Linked DNA regions of Sus scrofa. The protein of the gene in region 3 purifies or fractionates together with the protein of the main gene of each other region. This does not show direct contact. Links are inferred from orthologs where the notes say so. Each region holds a gene or a part of one and is shown on either strand. Other genes may lie near its edges. The genes, in order: POP5, RPP40 and RPP14.

Region 1 (4,433 bases), on a different chromosome or scaffold from region 3:
TGTATATATCTACAGGAACTTCACCACCTGCAGAACTACTTAACCAGGTAATGCTGGGTAAAGGTGACTTTGGCAAGTTTTATTTTATTTATTTATTTATTTATTTTTTTGTCTTGTTGTTGTTGCTATTTCTTGGGCCGCTCCCGCGGCATATGGAGGTTCCCAGGCTAGGGGTCGAATCGGAGCTGTAGCCACCGGCCTACGCCAGAGCCACAGCAACAAGGGATCCGAGCCGAGTCTGCGACCTACACCACAGCTCACGGCAACGCCGGATCGTTAACCCACTGAGCAAGGGCAGGGACCGAACCCGCAACCTCATGGTTCCTAGTCGGATTCGTTAACCACTGCGCCACGACGGGAACTCCGGCAAGTTTTAAACAATAAGTCAATTCATTTTGAGCTGGTAACTGGCCACTGATCAGCAGTCATCCAGTTTGAGAACTGTAGAAGGTGCTAGTGCCTCCCAGAATTCCCTGTCCAACAAGTAGGCCCTGAAGCTTAGGCGCAACGCAGCCTGCAAAAGTTCACTCCATTGTCTCAGCAGCCTCCTCACCGCCACTATCTGAAAGCTCCTCCCCAGTGGACTCCTCTTCTAGTAAACAGCTTCTTGTAACAGACTTCTGGATAGCTTCCCGCTCTCCTGGAGAAAGAGCATGGATTATTAAAGTCTCTGGAAGTGACCTCTCATTCAGCTGGAGGAGGTCAGTCACTGCTCAGTGGGCACGGGGCTAGCAGGGCTTACCTTCATCAGTGCAGTTCTGCAACAAAATCAACAGCTGTCTCCTATTGTACTGAATGAGGAACTTCTGACATGTTCTAATTGTACCTGACACAAGAAAGAGCTTTGCAGTCAACAGCTCGCAAAAGGTGTTTGCCTCAGAGTCTTGCAGAGCTAGGAAAAATTATCTTGCTCTTGGCAAGGTAGCAGGAGGACCCACCCACTATTGAAGACTGAACTCTGAACCTGTTTCCTATTGAAAATCAGCAGCCATAACACATGCACCCCTACCTCCCACGTGTAAGGTGTTAAAAAAACACGGATAACGGTGTCCTTTGTTCTCCAAGTATGTGATGAAGGGAAGAGCTGACCACACGAGCCGATAGAATTCCTTCCGGCATCGAAGTAGCACTATTCCGGTATAGGCATTGAGGTATCGCACTGCAGCAGGAAAAAAATCATTTTGGGAAAATGGATTCTCAGGAGCACGTTTAAAATCTTAGGGTAGAAGTTCCTGTCATGGCGTAGCGGAAACAAATCTGACTAGGAACCATGAGGTTGCTGGTTCGATCCCTGGCCTTGCTCAGTGGGTTAAGGAACTGGCGTTGCCATGAGCTATGGTGTAGACTGTGGCTGTGGTGTAAGCTGGCAGCTGTAGCTTCGATTCGACCCCTAGCCTGGGAACCTCCACATGCTGTGGGTGCAGCCCTAAAAAAAGCAAAAAAAAAAAAAAATCTTCAGGTAACTGAGAGCCTATGTACCAGAAAACATTCAAGGCGGTGGCACTTGGGATGCCATCAATGAGTAAAAACTGATTTCTGAAGGAAAATAATGGGAGATAAATAACATCTAGGGCCTTTACATACCACTCAGAATTGGTGAATGAATTTAGAATTTAATTTTTTGCTTTTTAGGGCCACACCCATGGCATATGGAAGTTCCAAGGCTAGAGGTTGAATCAGCTAAAGCTGCAGGCCTATGTCACAGCTACAGCAACTCGGGATCGAAGCTGCCTCTGCCACCTACACAGCTCAGGGCAACCTTGAGTCCTTAACCCACTGAGAGAGGCCAGAGGTCTAATATGCATCCTCCTGTATCCTAGTCAGGTTCCTTAACTGCTGAGCCACAAAGGGAACTCCTAAAATGCACTTTTAATTCACAAACTAGTTAACCCAAGGAGGGGGGTGGCAGAAATCCATACTCTTCAGAAGGATGTTTTCCCTTAGCTGAAAAACAAGTTCTGCAACTGGGCTATGTAGGTTCTTCCAGCAACCGAGTCTCACCTTGGTAGAAGGGTTGCCTCTAGGTACATTACCTTCTCCAGATTTCAATTTCAAGCATATGGTAAAAAACGGAATGAATTTACATAGTGTGGTTGTGGAGGAGGGTCCTCTCTTGCATTTACACATACACACAACTGTGTATTCTGTACTTCACAGGCCCCTATGCAGGGCTTTTCAGGGGTAATTCTGACAATGCTTTTTTCATATGATGTCAAAGTAACCCGTCAAATAACTTACTCGGAACTATACAAGTCTTTCCTCATTTAGTTTTCATCATCCTATTAAACTCAATCAAAAACCACACGTCAAATAGTATAGGGGTTTCTGCCGACTGGTATTTTCTGCCCACTGCCTACTGGTATTAGCTCTCCGCTTAAGTTTGGACTCAAGCAGACCTCAGGCTCGGGTTCTGAAACTCCTAAAAAGGACGACACCCTACATAAAATGGTGCACAGGGCTTGGCAGCTTCCAAGGTCGCCCGTGCCCCTTCTTTCTCCCTCCAATGGCCACTGCTCCCTCCAGATCCCGCCATCCTCCTGGTTCCCCAACACCCTCGCACCCGCGAAGCCGATGGAGGAGGCGGCCGCGCCGAAAGTTCCGTGCACGCGCGCGATCGTGTCCCGTACTAGGCCGCCCAGCACTCGGTCCTCCAGATTCAGACGGCAGCGGGGGTCCTCAGACACCACTTCGCAAAGCAGGTACCTGGGGCAGGCGAGAGGGCGGTGAGTGCTGGGCCGGGGCCAGGACCGCAGGGACAGGAATAAGGGTTGCTTACCTGTGCTTGAAGCGCACCATGTTCGTATCCGCCTCGGGCGTCCAGACACTCAAACCGGATGTCTGCCTTCTCGTCGGCGGCCAATGGGAAGTTGGCCTGGCAGCCACTCAGAGAGGGAGGCGGAACTAGAATGTAGGCGGAGCCCCGTGTCAGTCTCCTTTGAGCTCCGCCTCCCTCTGCCGAGCGCAGGCGTCCTGCTCATTTCTTCGCTTAGACTTTCAACTGAACCCGTTGTGATGAGTGGTTGTGCTCCACGCCAGAGTTTGCTGTTTAGGATGCAGCTGAGGCATTTGGAACCTCCAGGACGTTCCATTACCTTGCAACATAGTACCCAAGCTGGACGGTGGAACATTTGAGCACAAGACCTTGCACCCCCCAGGCCAGGGATTGATAGGGGAAATCGGACTCTTATTCTCAGTTTGGAGCTCGGTTTAATTTCTCCATACAGCCAAATATGTTATTACTGTTTAGGCCTTTCAATAACCTTATGGAGTTGGGTGTATTGGCTTGTTTTTTTTTGTTTGTTTTTTTGTTTTTTTGCAAAAACAATCCGTGGTCGTTATATTTTCTGGTTATTTTGGTTTGTTTTTTGTTTTTGTTTTTAAACAGAAAAGCACAAAGAAGCAAATAAAAATAAGTTATAATCCCAGCACCTAGAGAGAATAATTTATCATGTAGTGGATTTTCTTCCAACATTTTACCCCTGTTCCAGTGGTTTTCCAGGTGAAGTCCAGGAACCACTGGATTTTCCCAGATTCTTTTAGGGAGTCCCCCGAGGTCAAATTACTTTTGTAGTAACACTAAGGTGTTACTTGCTGTTTTCACTTTCTGAGTGGACAGTAAAGTTTTCCAGAGGCCAGTGACATGTGCTGACATTGCTCTGATGGCTAAGAGAATTGTGCATGGTGTTTTAAACATTTCTGTTTTAATAAACATAGTGAGTATCAATATATTTCACATAACAAAAGCTCTTTGGGATCCTCAATAATTTAGTAAGAATGGAAAGGGGCCCTGAGACAAAAAAGGTACGAGATGTACCTTCCACTGTATGATAATTTATATTTTCCATTTTCTTTTTAAGAATAGGATCATACTGTTTACTACTCTTCTTTCCCCTCACATTGAATATCTTTTTAAAAACTGAGGCATAACATACATAAAATGCATATTAAGTGCATAACTCAATGAATTTTTATATATGTATAAACTTTTGCAACCACTGCCCAGATTAAGAGATAGAACATTTCCAACACTCAGGAAGGTTCCTGTGCTCTCTTCCGAGCCAAAAACCTTCCCAGAAGTAGCCTATATTCTGACTTCTGTCATGACAGATTAGCTTTTTCTCTTCTGGAACTTTATATAAATGTAAATCTCCAGCAGCATATTTGTGTGTGTGTGCGTGCATGTCTGGCTCCTTTCTTTCAACATAATGTCTGTAAGATTCATTCTTGTCATTTGACTATATTTTCATGCCAGCTGTTCTACAAAGTTATTTTTCAGTTGCCCCAGACTGCATTGTTTGGATGTACCACTGCTGATCTAGTCAATATTTCCATGATGGATATTTAAATTAATTCCAGATTTTCTTGTTATAGCCAGTACTTAGTTGTCCAGCCTTGTAACTAGCTCTTTATACACATCCCTGGCTATTTGTGTC
Region 2 (2,844 bases), on a different chromosome or scaffold from region 3:
AATCTCTCTCCTGACCCAGAATAAGGAGAGCGAGAACGCACACTCAGGAACCAGCTGGCCTGGGACTGATCTCAGACCCACGAGCAAGGGTGGCCTCGGGAAGCTTACACCCTCTGCGCTTGTTCCCTCTGATGTGAGAATTAAACAGGGTCAAAGAGGAACAGCACTTACAGCAGGAACAGGCTCTGGCAAGCAGGACGGAAGAATTTCTTTGTATTATTATGCAAAGAGGTTACAAGCAGGAGCCCGAGTCCCGCTTACCCAATGGTCCCGTGAAACCTGACCCCTGGTCATCCTGGCACCAGGCAGTAACCCTACGTGGGCTCCTACCAAAGGGACAAATCAGCCACGAACTCCCACTGGACGGCAGGCCCGGCTGCAGCCGCAGGATGGGCCCGAGTCTGGAGCAGGTGCTAAGAGAGGCTCGTCTGAGAAATGTCACCACCATCAAGTCTGAGTGAACACACGGTCCTTTTACCATCAAGCAGCATGACAACGCACATGAACAAACAGGACCTTAAATTCTGCGCTTTCTACGGGGGACAGTCATCATCTGCTCCCACAGCCATGTGAAGCCAATAGTCCCGATTGTTAAAAATCACGAAGTTGTACAAGTGCTCTCCTCCTCTGCGAAACCCGTGCTCGTTTTCTCTCCAGGAAACAGGGCTGTCGGCAAAGCCTTGAACCGCCAGTGTCACCCACGGAGCCAACTTTGGTTCATCAAAGTAGCGACTGAAAAAGACAGATAATTCTTAACAAACAGGGAGAATTTATATATTTACGTATTTATTTTTTGCTTTCCAGGGTTGCACCCTTGGCACATAGAAGTTCCCGGGCTAGGGGTCCAATCGGAGCTAAACTGCATCACAGCCACAGCAACGCGGGATCTGAGCCACGTCTTCGACCTACACCACAGCTCAGGGCAACGGTGGATCCTTAACCCACTGAGCAAGGCCAGGGATCGAGCCTGAGTCCTCATGGATGCTAGTCGGGGCTCATTTCCGCTGAGCCACAATGGGAACTCCCCTTATTTCTTACTTATTCAGTACAAGTGGTATTTTTTGATGTTCCCAGGAAGCTCAGACTTCAGGGTTTTTTTGTTTGTTTGTTTTTGCTGCACCCAGGGCATGTAGAGGTGACTTGGGGGCCTGGGACAGAATCCGAGCCACAGCAGTGCCAAGCCCTCAACCCACTGCTCCACAGTGGGAACTCTGACCTTAGCTTTTGTTTATAAAAATGAGGCGATGCAAATTAGATTCCTGGTGCTACACTATGAATTCAACAAGGGTTCATCCCCCACACGCAGCACACCGAACAGAGGTCAGCTGTCCCACCCTCCCTGTGGACGATCGCACGAGATTCGAAGAATAAAAAATCCCGCAGATGGGGTAAGAATCGCCTCCCTCCCTTCAGCAGCGCTGCTTTCGGAGTCCCCATAAACCAAGACACTGCAGAATAATTACTGAATTTCTTACTGAAAACACATCACATTTTAAAAACTTCAACCTTCTCATTGAGGAAAATCAAATTATGAAGCCAATGATTGTGAAAAAGGAGGCTGCGTTTGCGAAGGAAAACCCCCAACCCTTAAGTCTCAGGCATTTTTCGCGTGAAGACCGAGGGGCGCCAAGCTTGCCTGAGAGTCTTCGACTCGGGACTCGAGTTTGCGGACGTTTCCTTTGTGTAGCGCCGCCCAGAACGGACAACCCAACACTATAAAAACCTTGGTGTGTCCCTGACGCCCTGCGATTCACGGTGTTAGAGCTGGAGCGGACCTTGGGTGTGATGGGGACACGGGGGGCAGCTCCCTTCGCGCCCCTGTTGCCAAATGCAACATTTCGCGGCTCTCCAGGACTTAAAGAGACCACAGTGTGTTCTGTAGAGAAGGGACTTTTTTTTCTTTTTGGAGCCACTATTTTTTTTTTTTCTTTTTGGGGCCACACCTGCAGCATATGGACGTTCCCAGGGGTTGAATCAAAGCTGTAGCTGCCGGCCTACAACGCAGCTCACAGCAATGCTGGATCCCCATCTGACTGAGCGAGGCCAGGATCGAACCTGTGTCCTCAAGGCTACTAGGTGGATGCATTTCCGCGGCACCACAACCAGAATCCCCACCGCTGTCTTCTTCCATGATGTTATAAGTCAACTACACTCACACGGGGGGTGGGGGGTGGGCGTGCAGAGCAGGAAAAATGAGCACTTTGTGCTCAACCAGCACAGGGAAGTTCTGCTCTTTTCTAAGTATAGCTGATTTATAATGGGTTATTGTCAGGTTTACAACAAAGGTTGTTATTTTTTGGCTTTTTGCCATTTCTTGAGCTGCTCCCACGGCACATGGAGGTTCCCAGCCTAGGGGTCTAATGGAGCTGCAGCCACCGGCCTCTGCCAGAGCCACAGCAACACAGGATCTGAGCCGCACCTGCGACCTACACCACAGCTCACGGCAACGCCAAATCCTTAACCCACTGAGCAAGGCCAAGGATCGAACCCGCAACCTCATGGTTCCTAGTTGGATTCGTTAACCACTGAGCCATGACAGGAACTCCAGGATTCTTTAATATATACGTATCCTTATTCAGATTCCTCTGCAGTCTAGCTTATTACAGGTTATTGCATACAGTTCCTATGCTATAAGGTAGGTCCTTGTTGTTTCTCTATTTGTTTACTGGGCCACATGCACGGCATACAGAAGTTCCAGGGGCCAGGGATCAAACTCGAGCCACAGCAGCGACACCACATCCTTAACCCACTGAGCTGCCAGGGAACTCCTGTCTCTCTATTTTACATATGGTAGCGTGTTTCTCTTAGTCCCAGCCCCCCAACTTATCCCTCCCCCACCTACTC
Region 3 (4,291 bases):
AGGCCTGCATAGGGCTATCTGTCAGCCTTGTGAAGACAGATTAAACAGCAAAGGTCTTAAAGGAATTCCTGGAATGGGCACTCAAGCCATTCCCAATAGATCTGGAACTTGGAAGAGCTCAGTACATGCTGTTCCCCCTGAAGAGAACCCCTATCCTGGGTTCCTCACCCACCTCACTCCACTCTGGATAGCTCCTACTCATCCTTCAAATTCCAGCTTAAAGTTCACCTCTTCTAGGAACATCACTTCTTCGGAGAGCCCTTCTCTGACACCTTGCTGTAAGTTAGGCTCCCTTGGTATGTCATCTCTTAACATTGTCTTTGTTTAATATGTGGTTCCCCCAACTAAAGGGACAGGAAATTGAAGCCTATCCAAGGAAAGGAACTTTTCCAAGGTCACATAGCTGTAGACCAGCATTCACAAAAACCTCTCCGGTCCCAGTTCCAACCACTCCCAGAAGACAACCTCAAGAGAAAATGAGAAGTCAAGGTCAAAGCCACTACATCCAACCACCTATTCAACAAATATGAGTATTTCCTGAGTCTGGCACAGAGTATTCAACAAACACTTATTGAATACATGACTGATTAAATGGTGGTAGCATTCAAGGGTGTCTCATTTCTCTTTTCTTTTTCCATCGCGCCCACAGCACATGTAGTTCCTGGGCCAGGGATCAAATCTGAGATGCAGCTACAGCAATGCTGGATCCTTGACCTACTTTGCCACAGTGGGAACTCTTGTTTCAGGACTGCAGTAGTTCACGGTGCTCCCTTCTCAATCACTACAATCTCCCCTGACTGGAAGGGCAGGGAGGACAGTATCCTCAATCATTTCATTCATTGCCTGGCACACAATAGGTGTTTATTAAACATTACTGATTGCCTTAGTGGAGGTGGCTGCCTGAGGTAGAGTGAGATTGGGCCTGGGGCTTAGGATGCCAATAACAAAGAAGACTTAAGGAGTATTCTGGAAATGGATAGTGGTTATAGTTGTACAACTATGTGACTATACTTCTTGCCAATGAAGTGTATATTTAGAAATAGTAAATTTTTCATTATGTTTATTTTATATTAAAAAAAAAACTGTAGGAGCAAGTGTTTATTGAGCAGTCACCTCTGACAGGCCTGGGTCTCAGAGTGACAGCACCGCCCTCTGCAGGTTGTCCTGAAACTAAAGGAGATGATGCCTGGGAAGCCCTCCCTACAGCCCAGTATATTCATTCACCAGGCTCACTGGGAAAATGTGAACACTTCTAAGTGGCTGTCATTATCATCATCTCTGAAGCCGGCCTTTTTGATGGCTGCAAGGATGCTCATTACCTTATCTATTAGCAGTAGATGTCCCTGCTTCCCTCCCTAATCTAACCGGGTGACCCTATTAAAACCTTAATAAGCCCCTTTCCTCAAGGCTTGAAGCCTTGAGTAAAGCCAAAGTCTTTACATCTAAGGTCCAACCTGATCTGTACCATTGCTTCCTCCCATCCCTCTGACCTCCTGTCCTACCACTCTCCTCTGCTCAGTCTCTTCTACCACACAGGCCTCCTAGCTCTTTCCCTCCCAGCTTTTCCATTCGCTGAAAATACTCTTCCTCCAGACAGCCACATGGTTCATTCCCTTGCCTCCTCCATAGCTTTACTCAATTTCACCCCTCAATGTGTTCCAGTGGCATTTCTATCTAATGTCACCCCCCCACGCCACTGCTCTATTTTTTCCTCAGAGCATACACCACTCTGTAGGTATACAGAACATAACTATGAAATCCACTTATTTTTTGGAGGGGTGGGGTGCGTTGGCGGCGAGGGGTTAGTTCTGGGGTCGAACCACCCCATAGCAGTGACAACACCAGATCCTTAACCCGCTGAGCCACCAGGAAACTCTGAAATTCTTTAATTCTCGTCTGCACTCCGCCCTGCTCCTCCCCCCTCCCACCCCGGCCTTACCAGAATGTACAATCCAAAGAGAAACAGGCATCTTTCCCTTGTTTTCTGCTGTTTCCCAGGAGGCTAAAACAGTGCATCACATACAGTAGGCACTCAGTATGTAATTACAGGACATAAACGATATAAAAATTTTAAAAAGCTCGGTCCTCTACTGTTTGGAGATTAAATTGTTAAGCTATCAGCCACTTAGGCTGGTGTTTTGTTTTATTTTGCTTTTTAGAGTTGCACCTAAAGCATATGGAGGTTCCAGGTTAGGGATCGAATGGAAGCTAGGGCTGCCAGCCTTACACCACAGCCACAGGAACGCAGTATCCTTAACCCACTCACTGAGCGAGGCCAGGGACCGAACCAGCAACATAATGGTTACTAGTCGGATTCGTTTCCACGCTGCCACAACAGTGGAACTCGACACCTGAACTGTTTTAAACAATAAGTAAAGCAGGCTAACTTTTTTCGATGACCGTCGGCGTCGACTGGGCGCCCACCTGGGGCCGAGTGCATGCCCCCTGCACATGTGGTCCCGTTCAGTCCTCCCGCCGCCCTCTGCAAAAAAGACCACGTTGTACAAAAGCCCAAGGAGATTCTCAGCACCGCCTCGCCTTCGGCCTGGGGCGCTGAGCGACCTGAGCTGTATAGGTACCTCAGGCGTCTCCGCGCTGCCTGCCGTCGCTCCCGCCTTGCGCGTGCCTTCCTGGCGCGCGCATCCACGCGTCACTAGCGCGGCCAACTAAGTCCACTGCCGGAAAACAGCCACGCTACTACGTACTTCCGTCTACCTGCTCTCCGAGAGATTAGCCTGACTCCTATTCACTGCAAGAATCCCTCAAGGCTTGGAACCTCTCGGCAAAGGCTGGAGCCTAAGCACGAACTAGAAAACTCCGGGGTCTTTACGTTTGGCTTCTGTCTGCCCCGACCCCGGATGCGTGACGGCTCGGGCGGATATGACGTCACAGCGCGGCGTTTTCCCGAAGGACCCGGGCGTGACTCGGGATCTGAAGCTCGCCAGGCTTAGCGCCCTCTCGTGCCCACTCAGCCTCTGGTGCGGCAAGCCGTGTGTGACTGAGGGCGTATTCAGACTGAGAGCTTTTTTCTTAGTCATTCATTTACTCAGGTATTCATTCGTTCAGAAAAATTGTATCTAGCATTTCTTCTGCTGAGCATCTCCTATGTAAAGTATTCCCCAAGGGCAAGACCCGTTCTCAGTGTCTCTTTTGGCTCATAGCACATAGTTTTTCTGTCTGGATTGACATGAAAAGTCCCAGATAGCCCTATTTCCAAATCTAAGACAATAGTTTCATTTATTCGTTTATTAAATAAGTACTTACTGAGCCCGTATTATGTGCTAGATGTTGGAAACAAAAGATAGGGCACTTGTATTCATGAAATAAACAAAACCCCATACAGTGTGGATTAATAATAATAGTAGTATTAATAGCTAATATTAATCAAATGCTTACGTATGCCAGGCACTATTAGCCTTTCAAGCGGCAAGCAGTCGAACTTAGGTTCGGTGGTAACAGCCTCCTCCAGTTAGACATGTGTCTGTGTCTAGGTATGCACATACATACATAGACACATAAGTATAATGTCTAGATGGGTCCCAAGGGGACTGATGGAGGAAGGATTGGGCTGTGTGGAGGGTGTAAGAGATCCTCACATTGTTTCAGCATTCGTTTTTGTTTGATTTCTTTTAAAGTGATAGGGCATCATTTTTATAATACTGATAGTAAGTAAAATTTAGGCTCCCAAGAGGGAGTCTTGGACCATACCCTTCTGCATGCCTCTCCTTTCACATGGAAGAATAGACTTCCTTAAGATGTCACCTCCCACCCCCATCTGCCAAGGTTGGAGAGAGGAGGTAGAAAATGCAGACTCAGGAGTTCCCGTCGTGGCGCAGTGGTTAACGAATCCTACTAGGAACGATGAGGTTGCGGGTTCGGTCCCTGCCCTTGCTCAGTGGGTTAAGGATCCGGCGTTGCCGTGAGCTGTGGTGTAGGTTGCAGACACGGCTCGGATCCCGCCTTGCTGTGGCTCTGGCGTAGGCCGGTGGCTACAGCTCCGATTCAACCCCTAGCCTGGGAACCTCCATATGCCGCAGGAGCGGCCCAAGAAATAGCAACAACAACAACAACAAAAGACAAAAAGACAAAAAAAAAAAAAAAAAAAAGAAAATGCAGACTCACTGTCCCTTATCTGCAATTCTAAAATCGAAGAAAAATCTGAAGACTAAATCTTTCTTCATTAGGTGCAATGCTTAATCTGAACCTAGGTGAAACATTTTGTAGCTTCTGTCCCATTTGCTGTGGATATGCACATTGTATACATCAGAAATATGGATACATTTGCTCATGT

Evidence for each region.
Region 1: the proteins of RPP14 (region 3) and POP5 purify together in Homo sapiens (co-immunoprecipitation; 3 studies listed by BioGRID and IntAct, with this or other methods). This does not show direct contact. The link is inferred for Sus scrofa from reciprocal best matches to the Homo sapiens genes RPP14 and POP5.
Region 2: the proteins of RPP14 (region 3) and RPP40 purify together in Homo sapiens (co-immunoprecipitation; 3 studies listed by BioGRID and IntAct, with this or other methods). This does not show direct contact. The link is inferred for Sus scrofa from reciprocal best matches to the Homo sapiens genes RPP14 and RPP40.

What each region holds. Positions count from the first base shown.
Region 1 is NC_010456.5:40,523,027-40,527,459, forward strand, and holds the start of POP5 (ribonuclease P/MRP protein subunit POP5), read right to left. Parts: upstream 2,909-4,433; 5' UTR 2,797-2,908; coding exon 2,777-2,796; intron 2,704-2,776; coding exon 2,561-2,703; intron 1,160-2,560; coding exon 1,010-1,159; intron 827-1,009; coding exon 743-826; intron 641-742; coding exon 525-640; 3' UTR 1-524. UniProt on the Homo sapiens protein: Component of ribonuclease P, a protein complex that generates mature tRNA molecules by cleaving their 5'-ends. Also a component of the MRP ribonuclease complex, which cleaves pre-rRNA sequences.
Region 2 is NC_010449.5:2,992,587-2,995,430, forward strand, and holds part of RPP40 (ribonuclease P protein subunit p40), read right to left. Parts: intron 733-2,844; coding exon 534-732; 3' UTR 1-533. UniProt on the Homo sapiens protein: Component of ribonuclease P, a ribonucleoprotein complex that generates mature tRNA molecules by cleaving their 5'-ends. Also a component of the MRP ribonuclease complex, which cleaves pre-rRNA sequences.
Region 3 is NC_010455.5:40,060,735-40,065,025, reverse strand, and holds the start of RPP14 (ribonuclease P protein subunit p14), read right to left. Parts: upstream 2,849-4,291; 5' UTR 2,580-2,848; intron 2,569-2,579; exon of another isoform or gene 2,388-2,568; intron 1-2,387. UniProt on the Homo sapiens protein: Component of ribonuclease P, a ribonucleoprotein complex that generates mature tRNA molecules by cleaving their 5'-ends.